Linked DNA regions of Rhinolophus ferrumequinum. The protein of the gene in region 2 binds, or shares a complex with, the protein of the main gene of each other region. Links are inferred from orthologs where the notes say so. Each region holds a gene or a part of one and is shown on either strand. Other genes may lie near its edges.

Evidence for each region. Proteins that work in one complex are often made in the same cells at the same time.
Region 1: the proteins of NRXN1 (region 2) and LRRTM2 are in contact, whole or in part, in a crystal structure (PDB 5Z8Y), measured with the Homo sapiens proteins. The link is inferred for Rhinolophus ferrumequinum from reciprocal best matches to the Homo sapiens genes NRXN1 and LRRTM2. Residues at the interface, in NP_001317021.1 of Homo sapiens: Leu139, Val158, Thr160, Arg236, Gln237, Leu238, Thr239, Ile240, Asn242; in NP_056379.1 of Homo sapiens: Asp343, His344, Gln346, Gly347, Glu348, Leu351, Asp352, Ala353, Gly356, Phe357.

The regions. Positions count from the first base shown.
Region 1 is NC_046307.1:13,815,732-13,819,487, reverse strand, and holds the start of LRRTM2 (leucine-rich repeat transmembrane neuronal protein 2), read left to right. Parts: upstream 1-1,481; 5' UTR 1,482-2,095; coding exon of another isoform or gene 2,096-2,121; coding exon 2,122-2,125; intron 2,126-2,466; coding exon 2,467-3,756. UniProt on the Homo sapiens protein: Involved in the development and maintenance of excitatory synapses in the vertebrate nervous system. Regulates surface expression of AMPA receptors and instructs the development of functional glutamate release sites.
Region 2 is NC_046296.1:35,475,942-35,479,697, reverse strand, and holds the start of NRXN1 (neurexin-1), read right to left. Parts: upstream 2,221-3,756; 5' UTR 2,089-2,220; intron 1-2,088.

The DNA.
Region 1 (3,756 bases), on a different chromosome or scaffold from region 2:
TGCCCTGTGGTCTGAAGACTGTCGGTCCTCAGGGTATTCCTGCTGTCTCCTCTCTTCCTTTATACTCGCCAGGCATTTCCCCCAGTAAAACTCATACCTCTAATCCCATCTGGGGGTCTGCTTCTAGAAGGACTCAAACTATACACCTGCAGTTGCTGCCATTCACAGCACCTTCACACAGGATCCCGGGGAAGAGACCTTGATTTCCTGCAGTCCTCACGCTAGTGCCACACTCCAACACAGAAACTGTATCCCTGAAAACAATGACTTCTTAGACTTGCCCAGTGGAATAAAGCCCCTGGAAGCCAACAAGCCAAAGATGTTTCATAGAAACCATGGGTCGTTTTGAGATTTCTGCTTCCAGGTGCGAGACAAGACCCACCAAGGATAAGTACCAATGATATGAGAGAAAATGGCATGGAAGGCCACATCAATAAGGTACGATGTGTAAGAGGCCTTACCTTTGTCAGGCCTGAAAATATGACCCTGACTCATGCTAGAAATATCTGTCCCATTCATACAACACTAAACATGGAGCTGTACATTAATAACCAAGCTCTGAAAAGTGATGACACTATTCAACAGGGAGAAGACAGTTAGTTAGGTTAAGTACAAACAGCCAAAGCAAAAATCCTATTCCAAAGAAGTATGAGTAACCTTTTGTATGCACTAGAGAGAGTCCCACAACAGTACGAGACTCTGAGTCAGTTCTGAAGTGTGCGGTGTGACCTACTAGGTGTGCGAACAAATGCTCTGTTATTTGAGTCCCATAATGGCCCAATCCCAGCATCAGATGAGACTTTCAGTTGAAGGAATAGATGCGATTCTGAGGTCCATACAAGGGATTGTGTCAGAATTCAGCCACGCTGTATCACTTGCCCTAAATCATTTCTGTTCCACTGTTAATACTTAGGGAACGCGATACTAAATGATTCTATGAACCTACCCTTTTCTCCTAGTGACTGAAAAATCAGCATATTTTTTAATCAGCACTGTGATAAAACATTGTTATAAAATAGGACAAATCTATAAAATAGGAGAAATCTTTTAAATTAGAGTTTTCCTGAAATACTCAAAAGAGCAAAATAACCAAATGCTTTTTGCTTTGTGAGGTTTTTGGTTTTGGGTCCCCCCCCACCCCTTATTCTTGGTTTATGATGTTCGGCTCTTAAGGACAAAGAAGCCAAACCCACTTAATCTAATTTACCAACACACTGAAAGTAAATCGTAATCATACTTGTATTTTAACCAGGCATGACAACAAGGTGATTGAGTAGCTGCCCAAACTACCAGAGCAGCGGGCACTAACTTGCATAGACTGGCGTTAGATCAGCACTTCATAAATCGTGCAGGCTCCTGTCCATTTAGTGGATCTCTCTATGCAGACTCGGCAGGCTAACACTGGCTCTCGCAGCATTAAAAACCATCACTCTGCTAACTCAACTCACTGTTCAGACGGCCTTCTTGAATGCAGCCTTTATTACAACCTCACGGCTGCTCCCTTACTGAAGGAATACCATGTTTTTAAGTCAGGAGTTCTTCTTTCTCGCTTTATTGTAACTGGGGGTCTTACAACGACCCGCTACTGTTACAAAGCACAGTGCTTTATAACAGTAAAGCTTCTGGAAAACCCAAACAAAAGACACGTCACCCGGTGACGTCAGCCTATATACAGTTCTGTGTGGTCGCAGCACATAAGCAAATCCATTCTTGTGCCGTTTCTCGGAAAAGCTTTTCAGTAAATGCACTCATGCTGCTCCAGGAGCTCTTCTCTGCAACAAGCCGCCCATCTGCCATCAACAAGTTAAGACCGAGACAACTAACAGCTGCGGAAGGCAGAGACTGACGCTTTGATTAACCAGCTGAGCAGGGCGAAATTAATAACTTATATTCCGAACTGATTGAAGGGATCAGCGTGGTCACAGAAAATGTAACCAATGCTGTTGAGAGGAATATCCTAAGGAAAAAACAACTCACCCTGGTGGATTCAATTTTACTCAGAAAGCCTGGGACACAGAAAACAGGAAACTGGTGAAAGGCTCCAGCATGGAGCCTTTTACAGACTCACTGCGCTGAGTCTAACAACCACGACTGAATGCAGCCTCCAATGTGCTCAGAAGAATGGGTAAGTCCATGCATTTCTGTGTCTTGTACAGTCAGCAAGAAACCGTGCTTTTTAAAATAAGCCACTGAGTTCACCTTTTATGAGGGAAGTCACTGTCATTTTTTGGATTTTGAGCTTTAGGTAAAAGCATATATTGCTGATGACAGGACATGTTTTATCTTCTTTCTTAATGGTTTAAGTTTCGTTCCAGTCAGACTAACAAGGTTAGTTTTTCTGCAGCAAATGAAAAATAAGTGATATGCAGTGAAATCTTTCGCCATAATGTTTTTGTTTTTTAATGGCTCATACGTTTTGATGAAAAATATCCTATCTTCTTGTTTTCCTTAAATTATATTCTGCAGGCTTACATTTCAAGTGGCCATTCGGGGCCCCTATGCTGGCAGCAATATATGCAATGAGTATGGTTTTAAAAATGCTGCCTGCCCTGGGAATGGCGTGTCCACCCAAATGCCGCTGTGAGAAGCTGCTCTTCTACTGCGACTCTCAGGGCTTCCACTCGGTGCCAAACGCCACAGACAAGGGCTCCCTGGGCCTGTCCCTGAGGCACAATCACATCACAGAGCTCGAAAGGGATCAATTTGCCAGCTTCAGTCAACTTACCTGGCTCCACTTAGACCATAATCAAATTTCAACAATAAAAGAAGATGCTTTTCAAGGACTATATAAACTTAAGGAATTAATCTTAAGTTCCAACAAAATATTTTACTTGCCAAACACAACTTTTACCCAACTGATTAACCTGCAAAATTTGGACCTGTCTTTTAATCAGCTGTCATCTCTGCACCCAGAGCTCTTCTATGGCCTTCGGAAGCTGCAGACCTTGCATTTACGGTCCAACTCCCTGCGGACTATCCCAGTACGCCTATTCTGGGACTGTCGTAGTCTGGAGTTTCTGGATTTGAGCACAAACCGTTTGCGAAGTTTGGCTCGCAATGGATTTGCGGGATTAATCAAACTGAGAGAGCTTCACCTAGAGCACAACCAGCTGACGAAGATTAATTTTGCTCATTTCCTACGGCTAAGCAGTCTGCACACGCTCTTCTTACAATGGAACAAAATCAGCAACTTGACTTGTGGAATGGAGTGGACCTGGGGCACTTTAGAAAAGCTAGACCTGACTGGAAATGAAATCAAAGCCATTGACCTGACAGTGTTTGAAACGATGCCCAATCTTAAAATACTCCTCATGGATAACAACAAGTTAAACAGCCTCGATTCCAAGATCTTAAACTCCCTGAGATCCCTCACAACCGTTGGCCTCTCTGGCAATCTGTGGGAATGCAGCCCTCGAATATGTGCTTTGGCCTCCTGGCTGGGCAGTTTCCAAGGTCGGTGGGAACATTCCATCCTGTGCCACAGTCCTGACCACACCCAAGGAGAGGACATACTAGATGCAGTCCATGGATTTCAGCTCTGCTGGAATTTATCAACCACTGTCACAGCCATGGCTACAACTTATAGAGATCCAACCACTGAATATACAAAAAGAATAAGCTCCTCAAGTTACCATGTGGGAGACAAAGAAATCCCAACTACTGCAGGCATAGCAGTTACTACTGAAGAACACTTTCCCGAACCAGACAATGCCATCTTCACTCAGCGGGTAATTACGGGAACAATGGCTTTGTTGT
Region 2 (3,756 bases):
GCTTAAGCTGGCCTCTGAAGTGTGTGTGTGTGTGTGTGTGTGTGTGTGTGTGTGTGTGTGTTGAAGGTGAGCGAGGGCTCTTAACCTGGGGAATCTGATTCTGCTTCCAGGTAAATAATGTCAAAATTGCATTGAATTCTTTGATACCCTATTTATGTTCAATAATTGTTTGTTGGTGTCGGGGGAACTCGTCCTCCATGTTGGAATTGGGTTGGAGAACCCCATTCATGCAGCAACTTAATGGAACCAGCAAAAGTCTTGAAAGTTTACTGTAGTACTCTTTCATTTTTTGAAAAAGCGTTTCAAATAAAGAACTGTGAAGTTAAAATGACCTCAAATAGTCTTCCTGCTCTATTCTCCACCATTGTATAGGACAATAATATAACCACTTTAATAAAGTATCAATTTCAATGTGCAATGTGTTTGAAAATTCTACTATATAAAACTGATGCAATTCAGGGCCTCATAATCCTTATAATACAAAAAATACAAAAAATAAAAATAAAATAAAAATACCCTTTAGGTCCCAACCCCAAAACTTCCCCACTAACATTAGGATGTGAATGCATTTTTGAAAGTGACAACTATGAGGATATTTTGTATACAGGCAAAACAATCTCATAGAAAAAGAATTAAACAATGCACGTTACGGGACATTAAAAGCACCTGAGTCATGTTTCCAGAGATACTCTCTATTAACATATTGGTGAACATCTCCAGTGGTAATTGTGTTCATCTACATTTGCTCTTTTTCTTTTGAAGCCTTTTAAGAAATTATCACCAACATGTTTTGCTGTCATCGGTCCACTTTTCCACTTCCACAATTAACCAAACCCTGGCTCCTTTAACTGTGACCAAAAGGCTAACATTAAGTTTATATTTCAGATTTCTTATTATTTTTTATTTCTCAAATCTATGCCAGGTTTGAACAATTTTCAAAAGAGCCCTGCAATGTGTAGGTTTTAAACAAGCTGTTTTAGTCTAATGAAGACAATAGTGAAACTCTGCAATAGTGAAAGAACCAGTATGACAAAATCTGCTTCTATGAATAACATGTCACAACAAGTACTTAGTAAGCAATCAAATACTTGGCTTGGGTTTCTTTTTGGTCATGGGACTTCAAAAGTATTTTCTTTAGAGAAACTCTTTCATAAAAAAATATAATAATAACAATAAAATAGAACAAAATAATAACCAAAAAATAAAGTATTAGTCTTTGAGGAAAACTATTATTTAATCAACACAGTATTTTTCACTTTATTCCCAAACCTGGACACAGGCATTCCAGTTCAGTATGATTTTTTTCTTTACGCATCCTCCTCCCTACCTCGTTTCATTTTTAGTACATTAGCTAGTTAATTTTAAAAAATATATTAACCAAATCAAATATATTAGGGCACTTAATCTCGGAAAATGTAAGTTTATTTTAGGAAAACATAACAGACCTGATTATTTTGGTGTACATGATTGGTACTACCTGTAAGCAGAAACATATTTACCCAGGAGATGTAATGGAGGGAAAAAACTTATCATGTTTGGATGTCCATATACTTTAAAATAACTGGGGCAACTTCATTCAGCACAGCGCCGAGAAGTAGAGCCAGAACTAGGGTGAGATATTTGTCTTTGGTCCAAAAATTAAGGGGGTGGGGCCCTGAAAAACTCAGTTATCAAGATGAACAATATTTTAGTGTACTATTAAAAAATAAAATCAATCCCAAAATATCCATGGTGAACAAAAAAATGAAAATGTAAATACTATGGAATTTTAATTTATTTAAGTATTATTTTACTTCAGTTTCAGTGTGGCTTGACACAGCATTGTATCCTGCTTTTATTATTTATTTTCTATCATGTAATCACCCCTGAATTTTTACACCCAAGGCAAGTGCCTCATTCAGCTTACCCCAGCCTTGGTCCTGCATCGGAGGCTTTCCTTTGACACTATTGAAAGATGTTAACAGTTTCAGAAAATACAGTGGAAATTCAAGCTACCTAATTTTTTCCCTCTCAGTTGTACTTCATGAGAGGATTTAACATCTTTATGCAGAGCATCTCAAACTCTAAAACTGAACATTATTTACTTACAGATATCCATGATCATCATGCACCCGTCTTGAACCAGATTCTGGGTGAATATGTGTAAGGGAGGGTCTAGGAATCTGTATTTTATAACAAATACTAAGTGATTCTGTTGCCTGTTGTCCGAGAACTATTCTTGGAAAAACAGTTGGGTAGACTGACAGCTATTCACTATTGCTTGTATCTGTTGGCAGAGGAAAGTGTGCTAACGGGAACTATGTGGTAAAAAAAAATGGCCAGAGACTGCGCCTGGTTCTATTCAAAACAATGCCAAAAAAAATTTAAAAAGACTTGGCATTTTTATATCTCTTTAAGTTTTCATGGGACTTTCACAGCAAGTGACTTTTATTAGATTATGCAGTTTGGAAATTTAGATTAGAATATATTTGATATGCTAAAAATGACAAGAATTGGTGAATGCTATGCTTAGGTGATTGAGACTTTAATTTTATTTACCTCGTGGGAAATTTATCATGTCAACTATTTTACATTTAAAAATATTATAACTGAGTAAGAATTACATTCAATAAATTATACAATGTGTAATAGGTCCATATGCTTATAAATAAACCTACAGATTCTTACAATGAGAGCATTATTTTTTTTTTATAATCTCATGAAAAATTAATGTAGGTTTTCTAATTTTTACCTCTTTTCATATCGTGTCAGCTTATTAGTGTTTATGATAATCATGTTCCAGGAACTACACATATTGAAATCACCTTGGCTGTTCAATAAAATTCAGATTCCTGGGCCAGTCCAATAGTGAAATGGATTGGAATTTTATAAGAAAGAAGCCCAGAAATTGAATTTTTAACTTTCACCCCCGCCCCATAAAATTCTGTTGTATCCTAAACCTGAGTACCACTGGGTGATAATCCTTCTGTTTGTGATATATACAGAGGGTGCCAAAAAAATATAGACACATTTTAAGAAAGGAAAAAACTGTTTTCAAATTGTAATACAATGAATGACGCTAGCATTCATTTGATCAATGCCATCTTTTGAGCGAATGTCATGCTATACATTGCTACTGTACTTAATTCAACTTTGAAAAGTAATACATAGGTAACATCTCCTAAAATGTGTACATTTTTTGGCATCCCCAGTATATGTACTATATATAAGGTTTTGGTGTAGTAATTTGGTGGGACGAGCCCGTCTTCCAAGGAGCTCTCTCATTTCCCAATTAGCCTCCAAATGCAGAGGAACATATGACTACTCTTCCCTATGTTATAAACAGCAAAATAATGAAATAGCACGACTAATAACAAGAGTAGTGGCTGAGCAAAAATTGTAGTTTGGATTTCTCTCTGGTGCTTTTTCTGGGGAGTTTCTGGTTTATGTTATAGCCTATGTCCATAAGTGTCCTTATGGGCATGAGAGCTAACATACAGAGCCAGACTAGTAATCATCTGGCTGTATATATAACAGCACTCCTGCTCTAGAAATGTACCTACCAGAAAGTACAGAAAGGGCTTGTTCTCAATTTTTGTATTACCAGCATCAATTACTTATTACTTTCCTTCCTGAAACTAAAACATTTAAATTTTGGCCTACGTAACCAACACAAGACAACAAGTTCCATGAGTGCACTGTCATCCATGGATGACACAGAGGCGCACTTCTGTTCACGTATCTATTCATAGGCTCCATATCACCCCTCCTTCCCTC